3 linked regions of the Oryctolagus cuniculus genome follow. The protein of the gene in region 2 binds, or shares a complex with, the protein of the main gene of each other region. Links are inferred from orthologs where the notes say so. Each region holds a gene or a part of one and is shown on either strand. Other genes may lie near its edges.

Region 1 (10,258 bases), on a different chromosome or scaffold from region 2:
GTTCCCGAAAGTTCTCCGTGTGAGCGCTCCTTGGGCGCCCTCTAGTTAAGCCGCAGTCGCCCCTGGAGCTCGGGTGGAAGCGGCTGCTCCCACACAACACAGTGCACCTTGACCTTGAGAACCGGAGGGCCCCCAAGGGCACTGAGGGGCCAGCCTCAGGCTGAGGCCGGGAGTCCGCACAGCCCCTGTGGGAAGGGGGCGGAGCCAGCACGCGGCACTGCCCCTGGAGCGCAGGCCAGTGTCGTAGGAGGTTCCTGCCTGGCCCGGAGTCGGTCGCTGCAGCCCGGGAGCCTCTGGGTTTGTCAGCGGATCTGAGAAAATGTAGAGTCCGCCCTGAGGGATGTCGGGAGGCAGACGCCCGCCTGCCTGTGTCGTCCCGACAGCAGCCCACAGGATCGGTGCGCTTCCAGCACCAGAAGACAGCGCTGACGGCTCCAGGGGCTGTGTGGGTAGTTAGAGCGCCACCCGCAGGCCTTACAACTTAGAAATCAGCCTGCTACAGATTTACTGAATTTCTTTCTTTTTTTTTTTTTTTAATTTATTTATTGTGGCTGGTACCGTGGCGTAGTAGGCTAAGCCTCTGCCTTTGGCACCGGCATCCCAGACAGGTGCCAGTTCGTGTCCCCACTGCCCCTCTTCTTATCCAGCTCCCTGCTAATGGCCTGGGAAAGCAGCAGAGGATGCCCCACGGGCTGGGACACCTGCACCTGTTTGCACCCAGAAGAAGCTCCTGGCTGCTGGCTTTGGATTGGCCCTGCTCTGGCTGTTGCATCCACTTGGGGAGGGAACCAGTGGGTGGAAGACCTTTCTCTCCGTCCCTCCCTCTCTCTCTCTGTAACTCTGCTTCTCAAATGAATAAATAAAATCTTTTTTAAAAAATTTGAAAGGCAGAGTTACAGAGAAAGGCAGAAAAACAAAGGCAGAGAGTGAGAATCTTCCGTCCTCTGGTTCACTCCCCAAATGGCCACAACGGCAGGAGCTGAGCCGACCCAAAGCTGGGGGCTTCACCTGGGTCCCCCACACGGGTGCAGGGCCGCCAGCACTTGGGCATCTTCCTCTGCTTTCCCGGACCACAGCAGGGAGCTGGATGGGAAGTAGAGCAGCCGGGACTCAGACCGGTGCCCATCTGGGGTGCCAGGCGATGACCTCCTGCACCACAGCGCCGGCCCCAGACCTACTGAGTTCCCAGTCCTGCCTGCGGTTGCCTTGGCAGAAGGACGAGGTGGCTGCGTGGGCCTTGGCCAGGGCCCAGACGCTCACGCCCCTGCTCAGTGGCGCACAGAGGGCTGGGGAACCTCGCGCCCCGAGCTGGCCCTGACCACCCTGCTCCCCACAGGCGGCCGGCGTCCTGCATCTCCTGGGAGGTGGTGGAGGCCACGTGCGCCTGCCTGCTGGCTCAGGGGGAAGAGGCCGAGAAGGAGCAACGCTCCCAGTGCCTGGCGGAGCAGCTGGTCTTGGAGGAATTCGGACGCTGCTTATCACAGATCCTGCACATTGAGTTCAAGTCCAAGGGGCTGAAGATGGAGTAGAGCACCGCAGAGGCAGGTGTGTGCCCGTCAGTGTTGTCTCGGGACGTGGAAGATCCGGGACTGTGGCCACAGCTGGGAGCCCAAAACCTGCCCTAATGCTGCCCCGTGGGCCGGAGGTTTGTCAGAGCTCGATGGCGGCTGTGTGGGCCAGGACCTGTCTTTTTGACCAAGTGGGCGACATAAGCACTGCTTGTCTGGGCCAGAGAAGGAGGGGCCGTGGTCCTGGGAGCACTGTCCCCACGGGTGAGGCAGCCGGCGCAGGCCCTGGGGAGGGCCCCAAGGGAGGGGAGGAGGAGGACCCGCCTTCACCCTCCACCCTTGGGGAGCTGCCTCCCCGGGGCTGCCTTGGGCGCTTTTTGGTTTTTGTTTGTTTTTTAAATTATTTAGAAATGAATGCCCCAGCTGGGCTGCCCCACAGCCTGGAGAGAGTCGCCCACTGCGGGAGACTGGGCTTGGGTCAGCGGTGTCGGGCGCTGCAGGGGTTAGAGCTCTGTCCAGTCTCTTACGTGTTTGTATCTGAGTTGTGGAAAAGTCCTATTACCCGATTAACTTCCCCGTCGTCCTCGCTGAAATATCACCTCCAGTCTGCAGGAGCCAGCGGGACGGCTGGTTCTGAGGCTGAGCCTGGCTGTGTCGTAGAACGCAAGCAGGTGTCTTCAGTGTGACAGTGAGCTTGGACGGGAGCTCACCTGCACAGCACCCCCGGAGTGGTGAAGGAATGTTCTCGTGGCGTGTCGGCCTCGCTGGGACAAGCCACGCGGAGCAGGGAGCAGCGTGTCTGTGACCGCCTGCCCCTGACGGCACTGCCGAGGGCACTGTGCCAGCCGAGCCCGGCAGCACCTGCAGGTGGCCGTGACCCAGGGGCTGGGGACAGGGACGGGTGGCCCTGGCTGCAGGATGGGAGCTGGGGGCAAGGCTAAATGGAGGCCAAGTGGCCACTGTGTGTCCCTGGCCTGGAGCAGTGGCCCGGGAACTTAGATGCCTGCGCCGGGGCCCGGCAGCTATTCTGACCCAGGCCTCGGGTCGCCGCTGCCTGGTCAAGTGGGAGAATTAAAGAGACAAAGTGAGTGTGGTGGGGGAGCCAGGTGCGAGGGTGGGCCCCGGGGTAGACCACCCCGAGCTGGGAGTGCGGACACAGGTACTCCAGCCTGGGGCTCCCGCGGCGTGGCCAGGGGAAGAGAGGGCAGCGGGGGGCCAAGTGTGGCCCTGCAGTCAGCTGGGAGCCACGCCTCTGCAGAGCCCACCCCGCCCAGGGAAGGCTCCCCCCAGGGAAGACCTCCCCCAGGGAAGGCCCTGCCCCACCTCCCAGTCTGACCGGTGGGGAAGCTGCAGCACCGTTAACTGGACCGAAGCCTGCCCGGCTCCTCCCCCTCGCCTGTTCTCTCTCTAATCTTCTGGAATGATCTTAAAATTTCTGCTCAGAGGACCGGGGTCTGCCACTCCCCACAGCCATCAGATCTGCCCCTTGCCAGCCTTCTGGCCACGGGAGGACCGCCCCCGCCAGTCCCCCCACTCCTGGGTCCGTCTCCACCTTCCTGCTGGTGTGGACCCAGGAGCTAGCGCAGCGCCCCCTGGCGAGCGCAGGCGGTGTCGCAGACCCTCTGCGGTGGGGGCGTGGCTCCGAACCGAAACCCAATCCCCCACCCCCACCCCCGGCGCAGCGGCGACCGGACAGAGCAGGACCACTGTGGCCAGTTGCTATTTTTTATTTTGCCACTCAAAATAATTGTCCCAAAATCTTAAATTACGACAGCAGAGTGAGGCGGGGAGAGCAGGCACGGCCCCCGCCCCGGTCTCCGCACAGATGGCCGCCCGGAACAGCGGCTGGTCAGGGCTGCCCGGCGTCCTCCGGCGACCCAGCCACGGGGAGGTCGGCCAGGCTGTCCAGGGCCCCCGCCTCTGCAACAAAAGAGCCAACCCCGCCTCAGCAGCCGGCCTGGGGAGGGCTGCGCAGGGCCCTCCCGGGGGCTTCCAGGGTCAGGTGCAAAGTCTGGACTGCCCGCCTCTGTGGGCTTCACCCCATGGTCAGCGCAGGTCTGAAGCCGTCCGCCTTTCAAGTCGTGTCGAGGGAGTGTTACAAACAATGACCTTGTCACCTGGAGGAGTGCTCGTGTTGCAAAGGGGGCAACAAAACAGACGGGCTGAGCCCCTGCACCCCTCGGGGCTCGGGCAGGGGCAGGTCAACACCACCATGCTGTCCTGTCCCCCCTAGGCTCCCTGCCCAGACAGCCCGGGGGCCGGGCAGGCGTGGTGTCCAGCCCCGCCTGATGCCCTTCAGCCACGTGGCCTGGGCACTCAGCCCCACGGAGGAAGCCCAAGAACCGCCTCAACTCTTCCAAGCTGGACAGCAAACGGTGCCGTCCACACTGCCGGAGACAGAGGCCCCCACCGCGGCCCGCCTCCCAGGGCTGCGGCCCCCTTCCCTCGGCCCTGCCCCCCCAGCAGCTCTGTGACCGCCATCCAGGCCAGGCGGGACCCAGCCTTCCCGCGAGGCGTGCGGGCGGCTGCCCCAGGGGCCCTGCATCTGCCACGCTTACACAGCAGGCAAGGGAGGCCCCCAAGAAGCTGCCCTACAAGCGATGGCCCAGGACACCGGCCCGAGGCCCCTGCTCCTCCCTGGTGGCAGTGCTGGCCAGGACTTGGGCGGGGGGTGAGCCGCTCCCCGGTGGGGTTCCGCAGGCGTTTCCGGCCGCCATTTCACGCACCTTTGAGCCTCAAGAAAGTCAGAAACTCGATGATGGTGCGCGCGACGCTCTCGGGCGGGGCCCCGTCCCAGCTCCCTGCAGAGCAGGCAAGAGCGCCCGTAAGCCCGCGGTCTCATGACGCTGCCCGGACCTGAGCCCAGGGGCCCAGGCTCACTCATGCAGCCTGGGGAGGGGGTTCCAGGCCCCACTCCGCCCGGGGCCTCCCTGCTGTCCGTGCTGCGGCCCTGTGGACAGCTGGAGCGGAGCCAGAGGGCTGCGGGCAAGGCGCGGGCCAGGTCAGGCTCAGGCTGTGGCTGGAGGGGAGGCGGGGTGCGGGTGCCCGGGCAGGGGCCTCCTCACCTGGCCTTAGCTGGTCCTCGGGCTGGAGCTCCCGCTTGCCAGCGAGGCCTTGCTTGTCATGGAAGGACCTGTGGTTGTCGATGGCGTCTGTCGGCAGATCAGAGGCAGGTGTCTGACCACTGCCAGCTCCCCCCCCCCCAAGCCCCAAGACGCATGCACATCTGCACTGCAAAATAAAGCCGGGGCCAGGCCCCAGGAGGGAGGGTGACCGGCCCGGCTGCACGTGCCAGGGCCACAGGCACACGGGCTGTTTGCAGCATCGGCGTGCACGTGCCCAGACTGCAGATGGGTGGGGCTGGAGAGAGGGGGCCGTGGAGGGGCAGCAAGTGGGAGAGGGCGAGGAGCCAGGTCTCCCGCTGCCTGCCCGCAGAACACTGGGATCTGACTGCACAGGGGCCAGGGGAGGGGCCGGCAGCCTGCAGCGCCCGGAGAGGTGCTCCCTGCACCCTCGTGCAGTCTCCCCACTGTCGGCCACCCCCCGGCCCCACTTAGGAGCCCAATGCAGGAGAGCCAGAAGAGGGGGCCCCGGGCTCTGTGACGTCCCCTCTGCGTGAGGACATAACGGAGGGGCGACTCCCAGCACAGCAGGTGCCCACGGCTGCAGCCTGGCCAACCTCTCCCGGCAGAGGAGGCTAGGGACGCAGGAGGCGTGGGGTCGGGGGGTGCCCACCCGGCCTCCTCTTAGGTCAGCCACACCAGGGGGACGCCCCACCCTCAGCGTCCTGTTGAGGCCTCCCTCCCTGCTTAGGCATTAGCCATCCGACAGTGCCTCCATCCTCAGAGCAAGAGGGGTCCTCGCGGCGCCCGTGGGACTGGCCCGCGTAGGAGGGGGTGGGGACAGGTCTGAACAGGAAGAGAACCATCCCCGTGTAGTCTGGAGCCAGACAAGTGGGCCCGGCCACCTGCAGTGGGTCACATGTCAATTCCCACGTGCAGCTTGGAGCCGGGGACGAGGGCAGAGCCCAGAGGGCGCGCCTGTGCCGTGGGAGCCACCAGCGGCTGCGGAAGCCAGGGCCCAGGACGGGGCTGCAGAGCCTGGCGGGGGGGATGCCCAGGGTCAGGGCAGAGCAGGCACGGAAGAAGCCTCTGGAAGGAAGAGGTGCTGGGGTCACACGTGCAGAGCACTGTGGAGGCCTCTGGGGACCCCAGGGGAGGTTTCGGGGGGCAGGGTGGGACGGAGGCAGCCTCGGTGGAACCGGGGAGCCCGGCGAGACGCCCTCAAGGGCTGCCCAGCTGCAGGGTGGGGGACGAGAGTCAGGTGCACAAGGGATTGAGGTCCCAGAGGCCAGGCAGAGGGGGTCTGCAGGTCCCGCCTCCCTCCTGGGTGTCGCCCACCTGCTGGGAGGGAGGGTCAGGCAAAGGTGAGAGGCCGCCCAGGCTGGGAGGGACTGAAACTGCCTCCCACCCCACCCCCCGGGGCCTGCCCAGAGCTGGGACAGCAAGTGATGAGGGCTGGGTGGGCGGGGCCTTGGTCGCTCACGTGGGCCGAGCAGGTAGCCGGCGCTGTTCAGGGTCCAGCCTCTCTTCTCCTTTGCCTGGAAAGAGAGAGGAGGGGGTCAGAGGCCTGGGGGCGCAGCACAGGGACCGCCGCGGACGCGCGTGGGGGTCCACGGCCCCGGCCGCGGCTCCAGGGCGCCCCGCGCTGTCCAAGGCTGCGGGACCGCGGCTCACACCGCCCACCACGCCCCGCGCGCCCATCCCCGACTCACCGGCAGCGCGAGCGCCCGCGGGGCCGGCAGGGCGGCGGCGAGCAGGAGGCAGACGAGCAGCGGGGCGCCGGCCCGGGCCATCTGCGGAGGGAGGGCAGGGGCGTCGGGCAGGGCTCGGGGGCCGCGGGGGACGGCCGGGGCCGGGGCGGGGCGCGCACCTTGCGGGACTGTCCCGGGACGTCGCGGGGCGGGCGGGTCTGGCCGGGTCCGAGCGGGTCCGGGCTGGGTCCTGGCGTCCAGGCGGGTCCGGCAGGGCGCTCAGCGCATGGCGCGGCGGGTCGCCGAGAGGGCAGCGGGCAGCGGGCGGCCGGGCTCCCTCGACGTGTCCTGCGGGGCTGCCGCCGCCGCTATTTATCTGCGCCTCCCGGGGCCGCGCGGCCGCGTCACGGGGCCCAGCACCGCCCAGCGCCCCCACCAGCCCGGGGGCGGAGTGACCGGAACTCCATCCCTGCGGGCAGCGCCGGGGGCCTGTATTGTGGGGGGGCAAAGGCAGGCCCCCCACGTCCGCGATAGGGTCTTCCCGCGGGAGAGACCCCTTCCACCCCCGTGCGAGAGACCCCCCATCCCGCGGGAGAGACCCCCACCCCCATAGGAGAGACTCCCCCTATCCCGCGGAAGAGACCCCCTTCCCGCGACAGACCCCCACCCCCGGGAGAGAGAACCCCCACTCCCGCGGGAGAGACCCTCCACCCCCGCGGGAGAGACCCCCACCCCCATAGGAGACTCCCCCTATCCCGCGGAAGAGACCCCCATCCTGGGAGAGATCCGCACCCTCGTGGGAGAGACCCCTCCACCCCCGCGGGAGGGACCCGAGGGACCCGCCCATCCCGCGGGAGAGATCACCTTTCCCGCAGGAGAAACCCCCACCTCCGCGGGAGAGACCCACATCCCTATGGGAGAGACCCCCACCCCCGTAGAAGAGACCCCCCTATCCCGCGAGAGACCCCCACCCTCGCGGGAGAGACCCTCCACCCCCGCGGGAGAGACCCACATCCCTATGGGAGAGACCCCAACCCCCGGGAGAGCCCCACCCCACTCCCGGCCCAGGTCATCGCCGCCCTCACCCCGCCTTGGCTCCTAGCCAGAGCCCCCAGCCCCACCAGCCGGCCTGAGGGGAAGGCGTGCAGAGGAGGGACACGACCACAAGAGGGCAGCCGCGGTTAGGGACCACCGCAGTCCCGGCTAGGCCCAGTGGGGGGGCCTGCGCTCCACCGGCCCTGTCCGGAGCCCCGAGCCCAGCTGAAGGGGCGGCAGCGGGGGTCTCTTGGCCACAGCGGTGGGTCCTCACTGCTGCAGTCCAGCTGGGACTCCCAGAGGCTGGCGGGGGCAGGGGCGGGCTGGCAGGTGCAGACCCCCACACAGGGGCAACCCCCCCCCGCCCTCCCACCCCCAGTCCCGGGGACAGCACAGCCCAGGGCACCACCCACATTGCCCGTCATTCATCCAGAGCTCCCAGCAGGAGGTCTCGGCCGCTGCACCCCCTGAGCTGAGCTCCAATCGGTGATGTCACTGGGCACCCGGGGTGGACAGCACAGGGCCACTGATGGCCGCTGAGGCCATCACCACGTCTCCCACATTCCATTCCCAAGAGCCTTTGCGCAGCCCACCAAGGGGGGGCAAGGGAGAGCCATGGGCTCCCAATGGGACGGGGAAGGACCCCTGGGACACTCGGGGACCTGGCCACGGCCAGCTGGCGGCCAGGGAGAACAGGCGCTGGGGCCGACGCCTGCTCTGGCTTGTGGGTGGGGTGCTGGGGGTGACTGGGCCCAGGGAGGGGTCTTGGACCAGACTTGGCCATCCTGGGGTGAGGGTGAGGGTGTCCCACGTGCAGCCTGCGGTGGGAGCGAGAGGGAGGGAGAGGCTGTGGCCCTGGCAGGCTTGAACCGTGGAGGCCAGAGGGACATCACCAGCGGGGCAGGGGGCAGGGGCGGTGTCCGCGGCCTTGTCCACCGGGGCTACCTTTGAAATGCCACGACCTTGGTAATGCCACAGTGCGCCCTGGCCAGCGTCGGCCCCACCATGTGCCCCTCCCCCAAGCCGGGCTGACCATGAACCCATGAATCCCCAGAGGGGCTGGAAGGCGGGGCCCTGGGCAGTGGGCGGGGTCACAAGGCTCCCATGGGGTCCAGGGCCTCTGGCGCCGGGCCAGCAGGTGCAGGGAGCCCAGCTGCTCTCCCGCAGCCTCCCAGGAAAATCCGGCCACAAGCTGGCCAGGGCCGAACGCTGCGGCTTGGCCTCCACTCTGGGAGGTGAGCGGTGCCGGCCCCCAAGCATTTCTGGGCAACAGGGCCCCACCTTCCATGGGTGCACAGAGGCGGGCCGGGCCATGACTGACAGGGGAGCCAGACAGAGCACAGGGCCTGGGTGGGCGTGGGCTGGCCACTGAGACCCCAGCTGGGACGCCCGCACCCCAAATCAGGAGCCCAAACCCAGCCCCCTGCCGCAAGTACTTGGGTCCCTGCCCCCTCCTGGCTCCCGGCTCCTGGCTGCTGCCTACCCCAGCCCTGGCTGTTGCAAGCATTTGGGGGCAAACCAGCAGTGGGAGCCCCCCGTCTCTGTCTCTCTCTGTCTCTGTCTCTCTGTCTCTCTCCCTCTCTCCCCCTGTCTGTCTCACTGCCTCGCAAAATAAATACACAAATACAAGTTTAAACAGGACCCAGTCTGGCCATGTCCCCCGCGTGTCTCCGTGAGTAACTGCGCGATGGAGCCACCTGAGGCGCTGTGTCCGCTGAGCAGAGACCCATCCTCCAGGGAACACGCCGGCTGCTCGGGGCGACCCACCCCCAGCCAGCACCGCTCCCCGAGCCTGGGCAACCGGACGCCAGATCTCGGAGCCGGCGGGCGCTTAGGACCTGCGATGACCCCCGACAGACAAACCAGGACAGCCCAGCCGGGGCGCCCGCACCTGCTTCCTGGCTCCAGCTGTGCTGGAACCCACAGCCAGGCCACTAATGGGCTCCTCGCCCGGCAGCGACCCGAGGGGAGTGGCTGTCAACCGTGATCGCCGAGACAGCCCAGTGTGTGGCCAGCAAAATGGCCCAGCATTACCGTAATGGACGGCCGGCAGAGAGCCTCGGCCCACCCGGCCCCACGCGCTGCCCAGCTCCGCTCCGGAGCTCCTACAGCCAGGGTGCCTCGCCCCGCGGGAGCTCCTCCTCACACCCCCGGCCATGAAATTAGCGCCTGGTAGGATGGGCACCCAGTGGAGACACACACACACACATGCACACAGGCACGCACGCACGCACACACACGCAGGTGCACACACACGCACACGCACACAGCTATCCCCGGCTATCCCGAAGGGAGGAGGATGGACTCAGGCTTGGCTGGGGGAACCACGGGGCCCAGCACACGCCCAGTGCGGGGAGGGCACGCTGGGAGGCCCCCTGTTCCGTCCATTTTCCTTCCTTCCTGCTGCCTGGAATGTGGACATGAGGGCTGGAAGTGAGCAACTGCCATGGGCCACCAGGTGATGGCTGCTGGGGACAGAGGCACGGAGTCACCCCACAGGTGCTCATGCCCTTGACGTGATGTCCGGCTGGCTGTGCCCCGAGAGCCCCCTGCTCCAGTCCCCCATGCACAGGGCCAGCTCGGAGCCCTGTCAGCGGGTCTGAGAGGCCAGTGGTCGTCCTCACTCGGATTTGTGAAATGCATTTAGACGGAACTTGCAGAACCTGGGCCCTCTCCCCACACCGTCTTCTGTCCCCCAAACCACCCGCTCCGCCCCTCCGCTGCCCGGCTCTGAGTCCACCTCTGTCCCCCCGTCTGCACTTCCCAGGGTCCTGCCGGGCACCTGCCTGGCCAGGGGCGGGGATCCACCAGTTGGCGGTTTCTGGAAGTTGGCAGGGCTGGCCTTGCCTGATGGCCGGGGCGGATGGCCTGCGGCAGGGAGAGCCGGGGGGCGCGGGCCAGTGACTCAGCTGCAGGCCTGGGCAGAGGCACCTGTTTCCTGGCCCCCAGCAGGAGCGGTGGC
Region 2 (10,364 bases):
TATAGGACAGGAATCTTGGGCAATCCACAGCTCCTCCCCCCACCCCTCCCCCACCCCCCGCCTCTCCAGGATGTCCCTGAGGGCCAGGGAGGCCCTTGATGTGAGCGGATGGATGCAGAGGCTATGCACCCAGCAGAGCTCCCAGGGCTCCAGCAGTGGGTACGGGGTCAGAGCCTCACCTGAAAACCAGGGCCTCAGCGGGGCAGGGAGGGGGGACGGAGGCCTGGGGAAGCCCCTCTGCTGGAGCCAGCTGAGGACACGCCCTGGCGCCAGGGAGAAGGGCCGCGGGGAGGGGAGGCTATGATAGGGTCACCCTGAGTGTTCCCTGCAGAGACTCGAACTCCTTAAGACTGGGGTGCAGGCCCACCACACCCTGGACGCCTGGTGACCCTGCTGAGAGAGTGAGGACAGAGTGGGTGCAGGCCCACCACACCCTGGACGCCTGGTGACCCTGCTGAGAGAGTGAGGACAGAGTGGGTGCAGGCCCACCACACCCTGGACGCCTGGTGACCCTGCTGAGAGAGTGAGGACAGAGTGGGTGCAGGCCCACCACACCCTGGACGTCTGGTGATCCTGCTGTGATAAGCGAGGGCAGAGTTTTCCACGACTTGGGAACGAGCCAGGCCTCAGAAAGGAGAGGAGGCCGAGCTGGGGCCTGCCTGGTGAGTGCAGGGTCCCCTGTGGTGTGCAAGGCGAAATGCCGGTTAGGCAGGCGATGCCGTGTCCCAGGGGAAGGGTCACAGAGAGCCTGGGATGTGGGCACATGGAGCCTCCTGGCTGGGGCAGCAGGGAGTGGGCAGCCAGGAAGCCACAGTACTGCAGAGGGCAGGAGGCTGGCCAGGGCCGGGAGCTCCTGTCTAGATAGAAACTGCAGCAGAGTGGTACCCCTGCCTCACCCCTGCCTCTCCTCTGCCTCACCCCTGCCTCACCTCTGCCTCACTCTTGCCCACCCGGCCTCACACCCCCACCTCTGCCTCATCCTTGCCCACCCTGCCTCACACCTCCCTTTACTCCTATCTCACCCTTGTGTCACCCGTCCTTTTCCCTTCCTCACCTCTGCTCATCCCTGCCTTTATCTTTGCCTCACCCCTGCCTTCATCCTTCCCTCACCCCACTTCACCTCTGCCTCACCCCTGCCTCACCCATCTCACCCTGACTCACCCCACGTTGTCACCTCTGCCTCACCCCTGCCTTACCCCCGCCTCACCCCACGTTGTCACTCCTGCTTCACCCCTGCCTTACCCCCACATCACCCCACGCTGTCACCCCTGCCTCACCCCTGCCTTACCCCTGCCTCACCCCACGGTGTCACTCCTGCTTCACCCCTGCCTTACCCCCGCATCACCCCACGTTGTCACCCCTGCCTCACCCCTGCCTTACCCCCGCCTCACCCCACGCTGTCACCCCTGCCTCACCCCCGCCTCACACTGTGCTCCAACACCAACAGCCACAGTCCTGTCCTGGGCTCTGCAGCCCAAGCCCCTGCGTGCCTCAAGGAGTGGCCGCTGACCCCACAGGACGAGCACCGTGCATCCCTGTGGGAGCAGCCGCTGTGCCCCAGGTGCCCTGCGACGGGGATTCATGAACACTGGGCACCAGAGACGGGGCCTGGCCTTCATCTTCCATGAAACGTGTTGTGTTCTCTCTCTGGAGATGTTTCTCTGCGTCTTCCATTCCTGATACATTGATCACATAGCGCTAATCCCATTAAAAAGCGGTTTTCTGTCCGTTTTATGGACTCCGCACAGGAAAGCCTTGCTCAGTGTAAAAATAAGGCAACCCGAGTGCATAACCAAGAAATTCCTGGCATCCAAAAATGATGCCGGAGCCCAAAGTCACCGGGTTATCCAGGCCACGGCCGCAGGGCACTCCTGACAGACTCACCGTGGCCGCGGGACTTGCTGGGATAGGAAAGCGGCTTCAGTAATTACAGCGCTGCTGAGACCCACGAAGGCGTGGCGGCGCCGGCGGCGCGGTGGCTGGGGATCCTGCCTGCTCCCACCCAGCGGCTGCTCCTCGTAGCAGAGGCCTCTCACCGGGTAGACCAGGAGTCTGGGCTAGGGAGAGGACAGCTTCTGCCCGTGAAGACTTGGAAGGCGTGTTCAAGCTTGCCTGTTCCCACAATGCCTGTAGGCTTGCCTAGCAGCACCAGGCTGAGCAGCACAGCTCACCTGAACCCGCAACGGGGAGCAGGACATCTGGGGGTCACTTAGCACGTCAGCGCTGGCTTTCTAATTTCATAGGGAAAGATGGCTTTGGGGCTTAACCTGGAGACTTCAAACTCAGACCCTGTTACAAAGCCAGGGCCCAGAGGGGCTCTCCCATCGCTGTGCGTCAGCGGTGAAACTCCCCAGCCAAACGAACGTACCCGGCAGGTTCTGCAGCGCAGGTTCCCCCAGCCGAGACCTGTGTCAGGAGAAGCAGCCCCTCTGGGGTGTGCAGTCCTGTGCTAAAGGAAGGGGACCCACGGTTTGACCTTCAGCTCTGTGACCGCACAGCAAATGCACCCCGTTTCCTTGGCCAAAGCCTGGAGGGCGTGGGTGTTTCTCATTCCCGGCCCTGAGAGGAACAGAGAGCTGAGCCAGATCACAGCGTCTTCCAACAGGGAGAGCAGCAAATGGCTGGAGCAGAAAGTTCCAGAACACTCCGGCAGCCTCAGAGGCAGCTGGGAGAGGAAGGTAGCTCTGGGCACTGGGGCCCAGGTCCCCTCTGTCGTGCGGGGTTTGCAGTCTGGCTGCACCTCTGGGTTCCGAGTGTCAGATGCAGACGTTCCCTGTAGCACGCCCAGAGTTGGCCCCACGGGGAAACGGCAGACGCAAACGAAAACAGTTTTGCAGGACTGCGCTCTTCTCTTGATTCTCACTAATGTGCTTTGGCCAAGTAGAAATCTAAAGGACAGCATTTTTACAAAACCGGAAGCAAGTCACAAGAACAGGAGCTCGGTTGAAACAATTTAAGCATAATTAGGCTCCAAGGAGCTCATAATTAATTTTTATTTCTTTATTTGCATTTTATTTGGAAGGCAGAGAGACGACAGAAACAGAGCTCTCCATTCACTCTTCCAAATAGCTACAAGGGTCGGGGTGGGGGCAGCCTGAGGCCGGGAGGTCTGGAATTCCTTCTGCGTCTCCCACGTGGGCAGCATGTTCCCAGAACTTCCAGTCAGGCTAAGATCATTCTTTATATTGCTTCTCCTCCTGTGGTGGGAGAAGGGAGGAGACAGAGCGAGAGAGTGAACAAGAGAGCACACAGCGTAGAAAACAGAGCACAGAACAAAATGCTGAAAGTCAATCCAGAAACCCATACAGAGTAGCAATATCAATAAGTAGAAGTGTGTGAAATTCACCCGTGTGAAAACTAGAGATTGCTGGCTGGATTCTCAAGTAATTTGGTCCTGTGTTCCTTTGAAGCGGTGCCCTGCATCACAGGGCATGGAAGTGACAGGCACTGTCCGTGCATCTACAGTGCCACGACAGCCTCACAGGCCAGACCAGAACAAAACTTGTCACGTCACTGAGCACAGCACACTGAGACAAAGAACAAGCAGCCAACCACTCAGACCCACCAGTCTGTCTAAGAGCCTGTGTGTATGCCACGAATGCATGAAGCAGCAGCAGGTGTGTGACCCCTGAGACCGCCTGGAGATGGCTGAGGGGACGGGAGGTGGAGAAAAGTGACCTCAGTTCTACTGGTCATCGTTTACTCCTCTAAGCTAGGTGGTGGGCCTGCGGGTATTTGATATGATTCCAACATACCTGTTCCATGCCAGAAACGGTTCATATAAATCTTTCCCTGTGCCACACGACGTGACTTTCCGTGCAGCAGAGCCGTCCAACACCTGGCACCAGGCAAGGCAGGGACCCAAAACAGCCCTGACAGGCAGCCCCACTTCCGGAGTTTTTTCAGGTGTCCTTCGGGGCGGGGCAGGTGAGGGCACTGCAATGAGCAGGCCTATCCAGTTTGTCCCCTGGAAAACGTGCGTCAGCAGTGCCAGACCCTTTGCAGGTCCGGCGTGGGACCACAGCGTTGGGGGAGCTGCAGCAGCCTTCCCAGTGCCAGGGAGAACGGCGCGGCAGAGCTGCAGACAGCTCGGGCACTGCACAGACCCCCGCGGGCCCCAGGGCTCCCCGGATCTAAGCCCTAAATCTGCCTCCCGCAGTGCGGCGCCCCCTCCCCTTTGCGCTGTCCCTGCTCTCGGGCCGCGCGTGGTGCCCGCTGTGGCGGCGGAGTCATCATCAGGAGAATGCACTGTGGTGTGTTTGAAAGATGCACACACACGACGCAAACATCACAGAAAGTCAATTTCCGCTCTTCAGCTGGGAACCTCCGGGATGACAAACCCACGTTCGCCAGCGCAACTGTGCCTGGCTCCATCCCTGCCGTGTGTCCAGCTTGCAGCAGGCAGGGACAGGACGTGCGCACGGTTCGGTCAGCGCCCAGAGGAGGAACGCAAGGCCTGGAGTTGGAACGCTAAACCTTCCTCCCAATGCTTTCTTCTCCCTGCTGTTGGCGGGGGAGGTTGGGGGCGCTTGGGGTTTGTATCGGCGGGCAGGAAGTGCCAGCTGCCCGCTGCCCGGGAGACACTGAGCGATGAGGCAGCCTGCGCGCCCCAGCGCCTCCCCGTCCAGCGCGCCCTGGAGCGCGCTCCGCGGCCCTCGCCAGGAGCCGGGGCCGCATCCTGCAGCCGCTACCATCCTCAGACCCCAGCAGACCCGCACCCAGTGCAGGCGCGCGCGCGCGGGTTGTAGCAAGGAGGTGGGCGGCGACCCTTCCTGTTAGGATTCGCCGTCTCCGCTCGCACGCCGACTTCCGGGGGTACGCAGGGGGCCCCCAGGGGGCGCAGATTAAAGCCGGGTTAAGTCTTCGCCGCTCCCACCCGGCCCTGCCCACCACTAGGGAGCTCAGAAAGCGCTCTCGCCCTGTGCGCTACTTGGAATCCCAGCAAGACCTGCGAGGGAGTCGGAGGCGCACGCAGCTGGGGAGGTGGCGCCGAGCGCACGGGAAGCGCCGCGAACCCTCTCCGCGAGCCCCACCCTTGGTGCGCTGCGCTCCCGGCCCTGCCCCGGGTGCGCTTTGGGGAGGAGCGGCTCTGGGCAACAGGTGCAGCCGGAGCCGGTCGGCAGCACGGGTCTGGAGCCGCTAAGGCGCCGAGAGGACTTTCACCTGCAGGGCTGCAGCCGGCGGGTCCCGGGGTCGGCGGCCGCGCGGCGGTCGTAGACGCGGGGCCAGGAAGACGCCTGTGCTCCCCGCCGGACAAGAGCCAGCTCCGCGCCCCCGCGCCGGCTGTCCAACGCCCGGCACGAAGACTGCGCTGCCAGGCGCGGCTGCCCCGCCGCGGCGCCCGCTCTCCTGCGCATCGGCGGAGGCTCCGGTGGAAACTCGCGCGCTGGCACTCGGGGCGGGACCCCCGGCGCCGGCTGCCCGTGGCAGACAGCCTGCCCCGCCACCCCGCGTCCCGGGCGCCCCCGCGGGCCATGGAGCTGGCTGCAGGGAACCTCAGCGAGGGTAACGCGAGCTGGCCCGAGCCGCCCGCCGCCGAGCCCCGGCCGCTGCTGGGCGTCGGCGTGGAGAACTTGGTCACGCTGGTGGTGTTCGGCCTCATCTTCGCGCTGGGCGTGCTGGGCAACAGCCTGGTGATCACGGTGCTGGCGCGCAGCGCGCCGGGCAAGGCGCGCAGCACCACCAACCTGTTCATCCTCAACCTGAGTATCGCCGACCTGGCCTACCTGCTCTTCTGCATCCCCTTCCAGGCCACCGTGTACGCGCTGCCCACCTGGGTGCTGGGCGCCTTCATCTGCAAGTTCATCCACTTCTTCTTCACCGTCTCCATGCTGGTCAGCATCTTCACGCTGGCCGCGATGTCGGTGGACCGCTACGTGGCCATCGTGCACTCCCGGCGCTCCTCTTCCCTGAGGGTGTCCCGCAACGCGCTGCTGGGCGTGGGCCTCATCTGGGCGCTGTCCATCGCCATGGCCTCGCCCGTGGCGTACCACCAGCGCCTCTTCCACCGCGGCGCCGCCAACCTGACCTTCTGCTGGGAGCACTGGCCCGACCCGCGCCACAAGAAGGCGTACGTGGTGTGCACCTTCGTCTTCGGCTACCTGCTGCCGCTGCTGCTCATCTGCTTCTGCTACGCCAAGGTGGGGCGCGCGGGACCGAGGGCGCGGGGCCGGGGGTGCCCCGGGAGTCGCGTTGTGTCCGCAGCCCCCGCCCGCGGGCCCGCGCGGCCTGGCGGTGTCCGGCGGACGCCGCTCTGCCTTTGCCTCTGCGGGCGCCCTAGCGTTGGAGGCGGCGCAAGGGTTCGCGGAGTTTGCGGTGCTGGGGAAGTTCGCGGGTCGCCAGTTGACTCCGGGAGGGACGTTCCCCGTTCTCGAGCCCTAGGCCCCCGCGGCCCTGGGAGTCCGAGCGCAGCCCGCGCGGCCGGCGAGAGAGCCGCTCTGGTGGCGCAACTGGGATGCGGGAGCAGCCGGTGCCACTGAGCGCGGCGCTGCTGGGCGCGGGGTCCATCGGAGCGCGTCGGGCCCGCCGCCCCCTCCCTGTGCTGGTTGCGCTGGGTAGAGAGGGGGCGCCCGCCGGGAGCTCCCTCCAGGACCGGCTCTGGGAAGCCGCTGCTCCTGGGAGAACGGAGCTTTGCGGTAGTCAGCCCCGGTGGGAAGACGGCATTTCCTGTGGTCCCCGGGGCCGCGTAGAACCCCTGCCTTCCGCGTTTCCACAGCTGAATCCCCGACCCTGGGGGGAGGCTCCCGGGAACACAGCGCCCTCGGCCGCGCCTTAGCCCGCGCCCCAGCTGCTGGAAGGCAGTTCTCCTTTCCCTCCGCTTACTCAGAGGACCTGAGGACTTCTGCATTGACCTGTGACACGACCGGTCCATGTCTGCGTCAAGAGGCATGTGTGTTGAGTGAGGATGGTGTTTGTGGGGTGCACGCCAGTGTGCACACACAGCCCCCCTATACCCTCAGCGCTAGACAGACAGCTCCCCAAATTCTGAAATTTCTGCCCACGCTCCGCCCTGTCGGTCTGGCCCCCTGTTTCTGGGAAGGCTGAGGCGACAGGACCCTGAACAGCACAGGGGGCGGAAGGAAGACGCTGGCTTAGAATCGGTTCCCAGGGCATTCTCCCCCCCCCCCCCCCCAAAAAAAAAAAAACCCTCTCGCCATAAGCCTGCTGGTGTTGTTCCTCCTCTCTGTGCCATCCAGGTGGGCTACGTCTCCTGCGAGTGGCAGTGTTTTTTGATGTCACCCGAAGGTTCTGTGAACAGATGTGCTGGGGAGGTAGGGGATTCAGAAATGGCCCCTAGCCTGGCCGTTGGGAGAAGGCTGACTCATTCATGAGTCTGGGAATGCAACCCAGAGGCTGGTCCCCCAGCGCAGCTGTCCCTGTGTGCCGTCTCACTCGCCTCGCACACCCCGTGGGTGCCGGCTGCTGTCCCCTCCGCAGTGACGAGAGGAGTGGAGGCCCCGGGGGCCAAGCTGGAGATGGTTCCGGAAGGCTTTTCAGCAGGGGTGCCCAGGGGCATGGAGGAGGGGCAGACAGTGGGGGCCTTGTGGGCATGGAGCTTGAGACCAGGGGGACACTTAAAATGCTGCCTTCCGGGTTCCTAGCTTCCTGCCTTAGACCCAAAGCGAGCGCTTCCCTCACTCCCCCAGAGGCCTGGGGGAACTTGCTCAAATCCTGCTGGTGGAAGTGACAGGGTCAATCTTCAGGGCTAAACTGGCCATCTTGCTGTTGTTTGAGAGCTTGTAAAACTCGGAGGGCAGAGTTTAAAAAACGTTTTTAAATACTCAGTCATTTGCAGATTTTCTCTGGAAATTGCTTGCTTCTAAGTGGAAAAGCCTTCTGAATTTGAAGTAGTATTTGCAAGCCCCTTCCAGGGCAGTGTGAACAGGTGGAGGTGTGTGGCCTGCAGTGCTCCCTTGGGTCAGCCGGTGGTGCTTAGCACCTGCGGATCTCGTTCTTGAGGGGCAGGTTCGGGCCTGGCTGAAAGGGGTTGCTTCCAGAGGTGCTCTGTGCTCCCCAGACCCTGCTGGTTTCCAGTGGAACAGCTCCGGCACCTGTCAGTCATGGGAGCGTCCAGAACACGTGACTAGAGGACAAATGCCGGCGACCAGCGCAGTACCCCCTGGGGCGCCCACTGCTGCTGTGGGGCTGGCCTTGGGAGCATCCTGCTCCCAGTAACTGCTGCCCACCCCACCAAGATGCTCCACACCCCCAGGGTGTGCCCGGCATGGCCCTGGGGGTGGGTTTGACCAGGCCCCTCCCTGTGTGTGGAGTGAGTGAGGTCTGTGGCCACACCTTCAGCCCTGCCTTCTTCTTCTTCTTTTTAAAGATTTATTATCTGAAGGTCAGAGTTACACACAGAGAGAAGGAGAGGCAGGAGAGAGAGAGAGAGAGAGAGAGAGAGAGAGAGAGAGAGAGAGAGAGAAGCCAGGAGCCAGGAGCCTCCTCCAGGTCTCCCACATGGGTGCAGGGGCCTAAGAACTTAGGCCATCTTCTGCTCTCCCAGGCCACAGCAGAGAGCTGGACTGGAAGTGGAGCAGCTGGGACTCGAACCAGTGCCCATATGGGATGCTGGCACTGCAGGCACTGGCTTTACCCGCCGCGCTACAGCACCGGCCCCGGCACTGCCTTTTAGAGAGCACCATCATCACCCCTGGGGGGACCCCCCCCAATTGGGATGCACCACGCACAGCGGTGTGTGCAGAGTGCGGGCACACATTGAGGGGAACAGCCATGGAGAATGCGCTGGAGTATTTCCTCCACTGACCGTTTGCCACGTCTGGTGTTCTCGGATGCTCTGGGGTTACTCAGCTGTGACCCAGGTTAGTTTGTTGAAAGAATAAACTCTTTTCTTCCCGTTTGAAATGCTTTCCTATTTGCTCCTGCAAAATCTCTCTTGTGCCACGTGCCTTCCTTTCAGTTTTTGGTACCCTGATTATTCCTGCTGGAACGGTGGCCTCGTCCCCTGCCAGTGCACTGAGGGTTATCCACGCGCCCCCGTGGGGAGTGAAGGGCTGTGCTGCCATAGCTGGTGCATGGCCGTGTCAGGAAGTGAGGGAGAGGGTCTGAAATCAGAACCCGTGCCACAGGGACGGCCACTTACCCGCTGCAGGGCCTGGAAGTCTGGCGAGCACACGCTGTGGTTTCTCCACTGGAGCACGACGGCTGCGTCCTGCTGGACGGGGCAGGACCTTCAGGGAGTGCAGGCCGCAGGGCCACAGGGAGACCGAGGAGTGCCAGGAACGTGTGTCCCGCTTCTCGAGAGACTCTCAGTAGTGTGGTATCCACGCTCTAGGGCATCAGATGCTATTTTTTTTCCTAAATTTCCTCTCAGTTGGGAGGTAAAAGTCAGCTCAGGCACGAGTTCCCGATTGGTGCTGTTGGATATCAGGTTTGTGTTGGGAAGTCGTACATACAAGCAACAGTTCTCACGCCGTTGCTCCTGAAACACACTGCAGGGACAGAGAGCTGCTTTCTGTACCAGAGAAGCCTCAAAGTACTCACGGACAGGGACATAGTTGTAGAACCTTGCAGAACAGTGGATTAATCCTCGGTGATGTCGAATGCCTGAAATGTGGGTTGTGTCACGATACGGCGTGCTGGGTAGGCTTGGAGCAAGGGAGGAAAGCAGGCCGGGGCCGGCAGTGTGCCTGCAGGGGGTTGGCCATGGGGACAGGCATGCAGGGAGGGCAGAGGAGGGGCTACCGAATGAGGAGTGGCCTGAGTGTGGGCTCTTCCTTGTTCACCTCTGCTTTCCCCGGGGGTGGTGAACTGGATGGAAGGTGTCTAGTGTTTCAGTGTGTGTGGGATCCAGCATTGTGCCTGACATCTCGTGGGGACCTGTTGAGAGTTACTCGTGGATTCCGGGAGTCACCACGGCAGAGGCAGACAGGTGTGTGCCTGCCTGGGCCCCGGTGGGGGTGGCTCTCAAGGAACACATCCCAGGGCCGCAGGCGCCAGGACCCCCCACGCTGCAAAGTGCATCTGGGTGTGCGTCCGACTTCCTGGGACACCCCCGAGTGTGGGAAGAGCAGGTGCCCCTGGCAGCTCACTCGCTGAGCTTCATCAGCTGCGGGCCATTTCTGTACGTTTTCATGCTAATGATTTTGTAGGTGACCACGGCGGAGCGCCAGTGGTCATCCGTGAAAAACGAGAGTGAGCGCGGGGGCGTGAGGCAAACCGGGTTCACCCATCTGTGTTTTCCAGGTCCTCAGTCATCTGCATAAAAAGTTGAAGAACATGTCCAAGAAGTCAGAAGTGTCCAAGAAAAAGGTAGGGCTCATAGGCCGTGTTACGTATGGGCCTCTGTTTCTGGCTCCTGTTTCTACTGTCGGCTGTCCTGCCCCCACCCCAAGCCTGCCCCCTCT
Region 3 (9,183 bases), on a different chromosome or scaffold from region 2:
GCCCGACTCGTTGCCGCTGTACAGAGCATGTGGTCTTCTAGTGTGTGGACGGCTGACAGATTTAATTCTTCTCTGTAATACTTTCTATGTGATATTCTCTTCCCCTTAAAAGCACTGCACATTTTCACTGTAGGCGTTGACTTGTTGGGGTGGGGAGCGATCAGGAGGAAGTGGGCAGGCGCCCGCCAGCGGCAGATACTGCGTCCTTAGCGCCACATCTGGCAGGAGGCTGTGTGCTCTGGGAGGGCGCATCGCCAGCAGCGAGCAGAGGCACCGCCGAGCCTGGCTCCGCACCGCCGCCACCGCCGCCACCTGCTGTCACACCTGAGGAGGCAGAGGAGGTGTCAGAGGCCAGACTAGGGGGCTCCCGGACCCTCGGGGCCAGCAGGGCATCTTGGGAAAGGCCGTGGTCTGCTGCCCGGAGCAGAGGAGGGGCAAGCTTGGGGCTGCAGAGTGTGAGAAGGCGACGCCCTTCCCTCCCGCCACATCGGGACTGTGTGAGCCCCAGGTCACGGCTGGCTTTATTTCCGTTAACTCTGGTGCTCCTGCAGGTCCTGAGTGTACCCGTGTCCCCCGTCCCCTCCGCGTTCCCTGGCCCTGTGGACACGGGGAAGGGGGTGGCAGCCAGCTTTGGTTTATGGTTTTAACCCCTCGGTCAGGCCCATCGGGCAGTGCCAAAGCCTGTGGGTTTGGTCTTCGGAAAAGAGGTGGGCCGAGCCAGGTGGGGGAGTGGGGAGTGCACTGGGCAGGGCTTTAGGGAAGAACTGAGAGATAGATACCTTGTGTGTATCCCCGGCCGTGGCTGTCCGCCAGACCTAGGAAGCTAACAGGTTGAATCCACATGCCTTGGAGCAGACCCAGGTCCTGAGTCTTCAAATTCCTCACGCAGTTAACTTTTGGGATTTGAAACACGCAATCATAGGTTACATAGTTCAGTTTTATGTCCCATTGGATTAATTTTTTTTAATGTTTGAAACATAGTTTTATGGTAGTCCTTTTGGGAAGAATCCCAGTATTATCTAAAATTATTGGCAAAGTTAAATGTATTTTACATAACTGGAAGTTTTTAGAATGTTGACAAGTAATTGAAAAAAGGGTGGTAGACAAATATTTAGGCAGAAGTAATTTATTTCAATAAATCTTTGAAAAGCCTTACTTTGAAATGCTGTTAGTAAACCTCTGTGATTTTTAAAATTTGTTTTGTTTTGCTGAGAGCATAGCTATTTGTTTTCATTGTAAAACAATAATAATAATAAAAAGCAAACTTTTAGTGTGTTGTGTATCGCTGGGAGTTGAGGCAGCTGCTTTCAGGGGGGTGGACATTAACTCTGATTTTGTGGGGACCATTTTGGCTGGGGGGGTTTTGCTTTCTCCAGTATGTTGGAGAAGGCAGACAGGATTTTTCTTCTCCTCATACTAGTATTTCATTTAAAAAAAATTTATTTATTTGAGAGGCAGAGTTACAGGGAGAGACAGGTCTTCCATCTGCTGGTTTACTCCCCAAATGGCCACGGGCTGGGCTAGGTCAAAGCTGGAGCCAGCACTAGGCTAATCCTCTGCCTTGTGGCACCGGCACACCAGGTTCTAGTCCCGGTCGGGGTGCCGGATTCTGTCCCGGTTGCCCCTCTTCCAGGCCAGCTCTCTGCTGTGGCCAGGGAGTGCAGTGGAGGATGGCCCAAGTGCTTGGGCCCTGCACCCCATGGGAGACCAGGAGAAGCACCTGGCTCCTGCCTTTGGATCAGCGCGGTGCGCCGGCCGCGGTGGCCATTGGAGGGTGAACCAACAGCAAAGGAAGACCTTTCTCTCTGTCTGTCTCTCTCACTGTCCACTCTGCCTGTCAAAAAAAAAAAAAAAAAAAAGGCTGGAGCCAGGAGCTTCCTCCGGGTCTCCCACACGAGTGTGGGGGCTGAAACATTTGGGCCATCTTCCACTGCTTTCCCAGGCCATAGCAGAGAGCTGAATCAGAAGTGGAGCAGCTGGGACTCGAACCAGTGCCCATGTGGGATGCCGGCACTGCAGGAGTAGGCTTTGCCCACCACACCACAGCGCCGGCCCCACATTTATTTATTTATTTTCAAGGTAAGTATGGAGGAGGCGGCTACTTTGCTTTCTCCGAGTCTGTTTTACTTTGCAGGTTGCATACCCATTAGAGATGACACTAACTCCAGTTTCTCAGGTTTATGAAGTGGAAAGAGGAAATTGATAGAGGGCCTGGGATCACTGGACTATCACAGCGTGGCAGTGACCAGAGCAGGGAGAATGCTTTACTTAGCCTACAGTGACCGACAAGCCCCAAGTTCACCCCTAAATTGTGCATCTAGACAGTTAAAGATTCTAGCTGCTACCACCGGCCCCTGGCTTTTGTCATTTGGAGGCCCCTGGGATAGGTGCTGAGGGCAGAGAGTGGGTGGGCTTCCCGGCCCAGTCCCCCTTGGCCATCTCCGCTGCTGCAAGGGTGGGCAGCTTGCTTTTGTGCCCGATGTTGCCATGGAACACAGGCTGTACCGCTGGGCCGTGGCACGTGGGCTTTCTGTGCCCTTGCCCTGCCTGGCCGTGGGAGCGGCTGTTACTCCCTCTGACCTCTTGGGTTCTCAGCCACTTGCTTGAGTTTTGTGTTTTTAACAAATGTGGAGGCTTTTATGGGTCAGGGAGAATGATGGCCCACGTGGATGGCTTACTTGGTGTGTTCAGGCAGGCTCTTGGAGCTGTAGACTGCTCTCACTGCAGCCCGCAGACCATCTGCCCGGGAAAGGACGCGGGGTGTGCATGCAGAAGGGAGTCGGAAGCTTGCGGAGCTGGCCAAGAACGCCGCCCCTACAAGGCTGCGTCACTGCAGTCTCTGGGATACTCGGCTCCTGCTCTCAGCCTAGAAGTGAGTGGTTCTGGCCCCGGCTGCACTGTGGAGTGGAGTCCCGGGCGCTCTGTCCCCTCTCCGTGATCTAGTTTAGTTGGTCTTTTCCCTTCATCCGTTAAAAATGCTGACCTCCTTTTAAGAAAGATAAGAAGGCAAGAACTCTCGGTTTTATTGACAAAACTAATTTGAGAGTTGGGCGAGAGCCCAGTTTGGCTCCTCTTTAGGGAATTTGGACAGGCCACGGATGGCCAATGTCATGGTGCCCCTCATCCTCCCGGTGGGCCTTGGTTTGTCCCCCACGACCCCTGTTAGGAAGTCGACCTGGGGGCCGGAGAGGCACTGGTATCCTAGGTCAGCCCCCACCACCACTCCCCGATGAAAAGGCCACCGGAACTCGCCTCAGCAGTGATGGCCAGGACTGGCTGCAGACTCGTGTCCTCGCCCAGGGCTGGTTCTTCAGCGTTGCTTTCTGGGCAGATCACTGGCATGTGCGGGGTGTGGAGAGGATTCCGGTGGGCAGCCCCCTGGGAGACTGTCCCTCAAGATGGAACAGTGGGCTGCAGAGTGCAGCTACGTGGGAGCGAGAGGGTGAGACTGGCTGCCCAGAGACGGCTCAGACTCCGTGTGCCATCTGTCCTCGTCTGTCCTCACACTGGGCCTGCTCGGTGCAGCAGGAAGCAAAGCCAAAGGATCGCTTCCTGGCCGGCTCGCAGGTGTGGCCCCTGTGTGCACGGGGCCCAGGCAATGTGCTCCCATCCTCGGGATCGCCGTTTCCCACGGTGGCACCCCTGGGCCCAGATGCAGCGGGATCGGATCCTGTATTGGCAGGAGATTGGGGATGCCTGCCACGCCCCCCCCCCCCCCCATTCTGCCTTTCTCATCTTGAGCCCTGCTCTACCCAAGGTGAGGCGGAGCTGGGAGCCCCTGCCTGCCCCTCTCCCCCCCCCCCCCGGGGCAGCCCTCCCCCCTCAGCCCACCATGTGAAGGCAGAGGGGACACAGGGTACAGACAAACATTCTCTTTATTGAGCGACACAGGGGTTTCCATTGTCAGAGAAGTAGACTGGCAGTGTGGCAGATAATCACAGAAACCTCACCGGGCGGGAATAGAAAGGCTTAGAAAGACCCGTGGGCTGGTTGTTATTTTTTTTTTTCTTTTTTCCTTTTTTTTCAAGTTTTTTTTTCCTGTATTTTTAATTTTTGTGTGTGTTTTGTCTTCGTGCCTCCTCTTTATTTGAAATGGCTGTGACTGGTCTTCAGCAAAGATGGAGTCTTACAAGTGGAACTGTGAGAGGGGTGGGTCTGACAGGGGCTGCTCGGGGAGGTGGTGCTTCCGTGTAGACGCTACATTCCATCTTGGTTTTGTTTTTGTGTGTAAATTTATTTTTGGGGTTTTCTTTCCATCTGGTGGTCTTTAAAGATGATCTTTTTGTTCTTTGTTATCTGCAGCACAGACATGCCCACGTGAGAAAGCGGCCGCGGCTCACCGAGCCGAGGGGAGGGCAGGGGCAGGGGCAGGGGCTGGGGCTGGGGCAGGGGGCGGTCGCCGAGGGACAGCCGCGCCGAGGCCGATGGGCGCCCGTGCGGGACAGAAACGAAAACGAAGCCCCCGAGGGGCTCTGCGGGGAAGGGCGTTTCCCACAGGGCTGTCCTCTCCGTGCGCCACGCCACGGGGATGCTTTTTGGCAGCTACTGGCCAGTGAGAGCTGTGCTTTTTCTATCAGACCTGGAGCGGTGTGGGGCAGCGGGGCCTGCGGCCGGACGTGCGCGGGGGCGCCCCTCGGCGGGGGCGCGGGGACCCTGCCTCGAGGAGGGCCGGGGGTGGGGGGGCCGTGGGGGCAGATGTGGATGCTGATGTGAAACGACAAAGAAATTGGATGAAATGGTGAGTTTTCCTTTTCGTCTTTTTTTTTTTTTAACGCTACAAAGCACATGAGAAATGTTTTTTTCCTTTCAAATTCTAAATGTAAAGACTCAACTAAAACCGGATTCTACAGCATTCTACAGAAATACACAGCCGTCAGTCACTCTGGGGTCGGAGGTTAGACAGGGGCTTGGTACAGAAAGGCTGTGTCTTACAAAGGCCAAAAGGTCATGCTACCAGGAGGTCAACGTCAACAGCAAAGAGTCCGTGAAGCAGTCTGTGGAGAGAGAGACAAGGGGGCCCGTCTGACCGTGCTGTCCGTGAAGACCACCAACCAAAACGGCGGCCAGGCCGGGCCGGGCCGGGCCGGGGCGGCGCCGCGAGCATCCGGGGCCCGGCGACCCCCGACCCCCGACCCCCGACCCCGGCGCCGCGCACTGCAGGCCTGGCCCTCCCCTCGGCCCCGCACCCGCAGAGCGCGCGGACGAGGACGAGGCGGAGCGCCGCTCCCCCAGAGAGACGTGTCCTCGCGCTGCGCTGGGGCTGGGGACAGCGGGCGGGCGGAGAGGGTTTTGGAGTTCGCACAAGAGCCGGACAGAACGGACAGCACGCAGCCTGCGGTTTGGGGGAGGGGGCGGTGGCCCGCGGAGCCCCTTCCCCCCACCCCGCTCGGTCACGGAAGTGGGTGTTAGCGGGGAGCCCCCCACCCCGAGCCGCCCGCTGCAGGCTCCCGTCACGACGCGCGTGTGTGAGTGTGAGCGTGAGTGTGGCCCTGGAAGACCTCCAGGGGCTGGGGGAAGGTGGTCAGTTCTGTCCGCGGCTCTTTCTAGAACAAACTGAAAAGCTTTTGAATATATACTCGTCTATATATACATATATAAGGTTTTGTGTCGCCTCTGGAACGTTTATTTACCAACTTGCATTTGTCAGTGGGGGGTGTGTGTGCGTGTGAGTGTGTGTGAGTGCGCACGCAAGCGTTTCTGTGAGTGCTGGGATCATTACCAAATAGGTTGCTATACAGGACAAGAGGTCAGTACAAGCCGCAGCCCCGGAGGTTGTTGGCAATGATGATGTCGGTGACGGCGTCGAATACCACCTGGATATTATTCGTGTCCGTGGCACAAGTCATGTGACAGTAGATCTCTTTGTTGGGCGAGCGGTTTTTGCTTTCAAATTGTGCTTGGATGTAGGCAGCTGCATCTTCATAGGTATTGGGGCCTGAAACAAGACACAGAAGAACGGGTCGGGCCCTGGTGAGAGCTGAGGGCGGGGGGTCTGAGGACCGACGGGAGAGGGGTAGGCGGTGGCCTGTCCTGTCGGGGACAGTGCGGCTTGCTGGGCATTCGCTGTCCACCGTGTGGCCGCGTTCTCAGCGGAAGGGGCCGGCGTTGTGGCGCAGCAGGTTGGGCTGCTGCCTGTGACGCTGGCCTCCCCTGTGGGCACTGGTACACATTCTGGTTGCTCCAGTTCCCATCTGGCTCCCTGCTGGCGCCTGGGCCCCTGCCACCCACATGGAAGACCCAGACGAAGCTCCTGGCTCCTGGCTTCAGCCTAGCCCAGCCCTGGCCAGTATGGCCATCTGGGGAGTGAACTACCTGATGGGCGATTTCTCTCTCTCTCTTCCTGTCTTTAACTCTTTCAAATAAATAAATCTTAAAAAGACAAAGAAAGAAAGGAAAAGGAAAACTGCTGAAGTCCTAGCATTTGCCTGGTTTGCCTTCTCATTCCCTGGGCTTCCGCGAGCCATCTTCCCGGGAGCCTTGGAAGCCAGCGGCCACAGACCCTGCCTCTTGCTTTCTGGGTGAGTTAACTGAGGCGCCTCCCTGTGGTCCAGTCCAATCCTGCTGATTCTAAGGAACCAAGACAATAAAACCTCATGGGAAGCTGCCTGGCAGGGGGTGAGCACGCATGGGCCCCGGGCTCCTTCCTCAGTGCGTTCTTCCAACCACAGGGCACTTGCTGAGGTCGGCGGCATCTCTAAGCAGCCCCAGTTCTTGGGTGAGTGGCCGGGATGTGGAATGTTGGGGCTATTGGTGTGTATGATGCCATCTGGGCTCCCCACAGCCCCTGGCAGCTCTGTGGGTGGCCCGTCAGCTACAACCCGAAGCCTTGTGGCTCTGCACAGCTTTCATGGAAAGACCACAGGGCACGGGCTACGGCTGGAGCGCAGGACGGTGCACTGCCCGGAAGATGCCCCCTGGACCTCTGCACTGCCAGGACTTCGCCCAGGAATTAAATGATGCGAAGTGACTGCAGGGGTGGGGCCGCCCCTCCCCCACCCCGCCCAGCCCCGTGGGCCCAGGGACAGTGGCGCTTGGCCGCTGGAAGGCGCCTGCACGTCCCTTTCCTCTGCAGGAGGGTGAGGAGAGGGGTGCGACACCCCTGGTCACTGAGCCTTGGCCCAGCTGTCAGCGGCTGGACAGTGATGGAGGCAGACCCTATCTGGAGAGAGCCAAGGAAGAAGAGCGAGGTGCCCACAGGGACTCTAGCTGGATGGCCCTGCGCCCTGCCCCAGCCCTGCTGCGGCCACCGAGCCTCCTCCCCCACAGGCCTGCACCCCTGGCCACAGGCAAAGGTGACCCTGTGCCACCCATCATGCAGTCTGAATCAACCGGGACCCTCGGCAGGCCCTGGAGAGCTCCGACGTTCCGAGTCAGCAGGACGGGCCCTGGGGGCACCTGCTGGGAGCCTCTGGGGGCCTCACTGCTCGGGCCACGTCCCAGATCAGGCCTCGCTGCCACAGCTTTCAGGACTGGGGATTGGAAGGCCTTGGCTGAGGTGGGAAAGGGAAGCAGGGGCTGCCAAGGGGGTGGGGGGCTGCAGCCTGGCACTGCCTGCAGTAGGGGGTGGGGGGCTGCAGCCTGGCACCGCCTGCCGTGCCCTCCTGCACCTGCTGTGCCCTGCAGAGGGCGCCTCCTCCATGCCCAGGTCCCCCTTTCTAGGTCTCCACTGCGCCCAGCACTCACCTCTCAACTCCAGGCTACCCCGTGGGAGCAGAGGGCACAGGCCCCGGCCCCACTTCCCCCCTGCACGGTGGGATGGGCGGCATGGCATGCCAGGGAGGACAGGGCCTGGCTCTGTGAGGGACCTTCTTCACGGGACTCTTCCCAGCAGTGGAGAAGGCTTGTGCTGGAATCGGGTGTCTTCTGGTTGGGTTCAGGGATGTGTGTGGCCCTGGGACCTGAGCCCCTGCTCTAGTCTTGCTTGGGACAACGACGGGTTTCTGACTGAACCAACCTTACCTTCACCTGGAGGCAGGGCGGGGCACGACCCCTCCACTGCAGGGTGCTGGCCCTCTTCTCAGCATGCAAAGGGACCTCCACCCAGGGCCCCTAGAGCTCCCCAATGCCCAGAGGCTCAGGGCTGTGGCCTCCCGGAGTTCCGTCCCACAGCAGCTCTGATGGGGGAGGGCTGCTGGGCCAGGGCCAGGTTGTTGCACACAGAGGCGCAGTGTGCGCAGTGCATGCAGGCAGGTGGCAGAGCGGGCAGGTGTAGCCTGCACAGCAGCCCGGGCCCCACATGCCGGCCACGTCCCCACATTTTCCTCTGCATGCAGAGTGGTTCAATGACAGACTTGGGGGGAGGCAGTGGGAAGCCACTGGTGAGGTTTGGGGAGGTGCCCCTGCTGGGTCCCGGCACCTCTTGTAGAAGGTGACCAGGAAGAAAGAGAAAGGGACTCCTGGGGGCCTGTCCTGCCCATGGTCCCTGCCATGCCACTCCTGGGTAAATGGCTCAGGTGCAGCCACTGCCCACCCCACTCAGGGCCATGTCCTAGGAAGGGCTGCACCCTTGCCAGGCGCCTGCGCTGGCCCAGGCAGTGGTGGCCCAGCTCCTGAGGCCACAGGCTGTGGGATTCCAGTTTGCATCGTCTGGGGGAAACCCGGTTTTTTTTTTTTGGAGGGGCCCCCCACTGCACGGGGCCACCGTGACACCCACCTGTGTATTCAGGAAAGCAGATGGTCAAAGGTGACTTCTTGATCTTCTCGCCAAAGAGATCTTTCTTGTTGAGGAAGAGGATGATGGAGGTATCGATGAAGAACTTGTTGTTGCAGATGGAGTCGAAGAGCATGAGGGACTCGTGCATGCGGTTCTGCAGCCCCAGGCAGGGAGGAGAGAGAGCAAGACAGACAGCAGGGGGAGAGACACGGGGACAGGGAAAGAGAAGAAGAGAGTTAGGTTCGAGACAGAGGGACTGGGCTACTTGGCAGCTCAAGAGGGGCTCCTGTGCCCCGGGCTCCTCAAGAGGCTGATGGCCGGAGCCTGCCGTGCGGGACGCACCACGGAGCAACTTGTCCAAAGCAGGTCCGTGCCAGAGCCCCCAGCGTCTCGGGACCAACAGCAGAGGCCGAGCTAGGAACCGAGCGTGGCTTCCCAGGTGAGGCTGGGGACAGGGTGACCTGGCCTCTCCTTACTCAGCTGTGCAAGGGGCTCCTGGGCTGTGGTGTGTGTGTGTGTGTGTACAGGGG

The links.
Region 1: the proteins of GALR1 (region 2) and GAL are in contact, whole or in part, in a cryo-EM structure (PDB 7WQ3), measured with the Homo sapiens proteins. The link is inferred for Oryctolagus cuniculus from reciprocal best matches to the Homo sapiens genes GALR1 and GAL. Residues at the interface, in NP_001471.2 of Homo sapiens: Glu32, Gln92, Thr94, Val95, Tyr96, Leu98, Pro99, Thr100, His112, Gln174, Phe177, Arg180, Gln184, Phe186, Cys187, Trp188, Glu189, Gln190, Ile266, His267, Ala270, Phe275, Leu277, Ser281, Phe282, Arg285; in NP_057057.2 of Homo sapiens: Gly33, Trp34, Leu36, Asn37, Ser38, Gly40, Tyr41, Leu42, Leu43, Gly44, Pro45, Val48.
Region 3: the proteins of GALR1 (region 2) and GNAO1 are in contact, whole or in part, in a cryo-EM structure (PDB 7XJJ), measured with the Homo sapiens proteins. The link is inferred for Oryctolagus cuniculus from reciprocal best matches to the Homo sapiens genes GALR1 and GNAO1. Residues at the interface, in NP_001471.2 of Homo sapiens: Thr70, Arg133, Ala136, Ile137, Ser140, Arg141, His226, Leu227, Leu231, Asn233, Ser235, Lys236, Lys237, Ser238, Ala240, Ser241, Lys244, Thr245, Thr248, Leu306, Ser307, Glu308, Asn309; in NP_066268.1 of Homo sapiens: Ser264, Asn316, Glu318, Tyr320, Asp337, Asp341, Ile343, Ile344, Ala345, Asn347, Leu348, Arg349, Gly350, Cys351, Gly352, Leu353, Tyr354.

Annotation. Positions count from the first base shown.
Region 1 is NC_091432.1:3,952,546-3,962,803, forward strand, and holds GAL (galanin peptides), read right to left. Parts: upstream 6,619-10,258; 5' UTR 6,441-6,618; intron 6,364-6,440; coding exon 6,283-6,363; intron 6,109-6,282; coding exon 6,054-6,108; intron 4,661-6,053; coding exon 4,574-4,660; intron 4,310-4,573; coding exon 4,235-4,309; intron 3,626-4,234; coding exon of another isoform or gene 3,555-3,625; exon of another isoform or gene 3,443-3,554; intron 3,429-3,442; coding exon 3,358-3,428; 3' UTR 3,220-3,357; downstream 1-3,219. Other genes in the region: tesmin, read left to right, coding at 1,337-1,529. UniProt on the Homo sapiens protein: Endocrine hormone of the central and peripheral nervous systems that binds and activates the G protein-coupled receptors GALR1, GALR2, and GALR3.
Region 2 is NC_091441.1:2,134,528-2,144,891, reverse strand, and holds the start of GALR1 (galanin receptor type 1), read left to right. Parts: upstream 1-4,843; 5' UTR 4,844-5,474; coding exon 5,475-6,140; intron 6,141-10,203; coding exon 10,204-10,269; intron 10,270-10,364. UniProt on the Homo sapiens protein: Receptor for the hormone galanin. The activity of this receptor is mediated by G proteins that inhibit adenylate cyclase activity.
Region 3 is NC_091449.1:40,129,497-40,138,679, reverse strand, and holds the end of GNAO1 (guanine nucleotide-binding protein G(o) subunit alpha), read right to left. Parts: intron 8,808-9,183; coding exon 8,654-8,807; intron 5,936-8,653; coding exon 5,748-5,935; 3' UTR 5,720-5,747; intron 4,995-5,719; 3' UTR 3,858-4,994; downstream 1-3,857. UniProt on the Homo sapiens protein: Guanine nucleotide-binding proteins (G proteins) function as transducers downstream of G protein-coupled receptors (GPCRs) in numerous signaling cascades.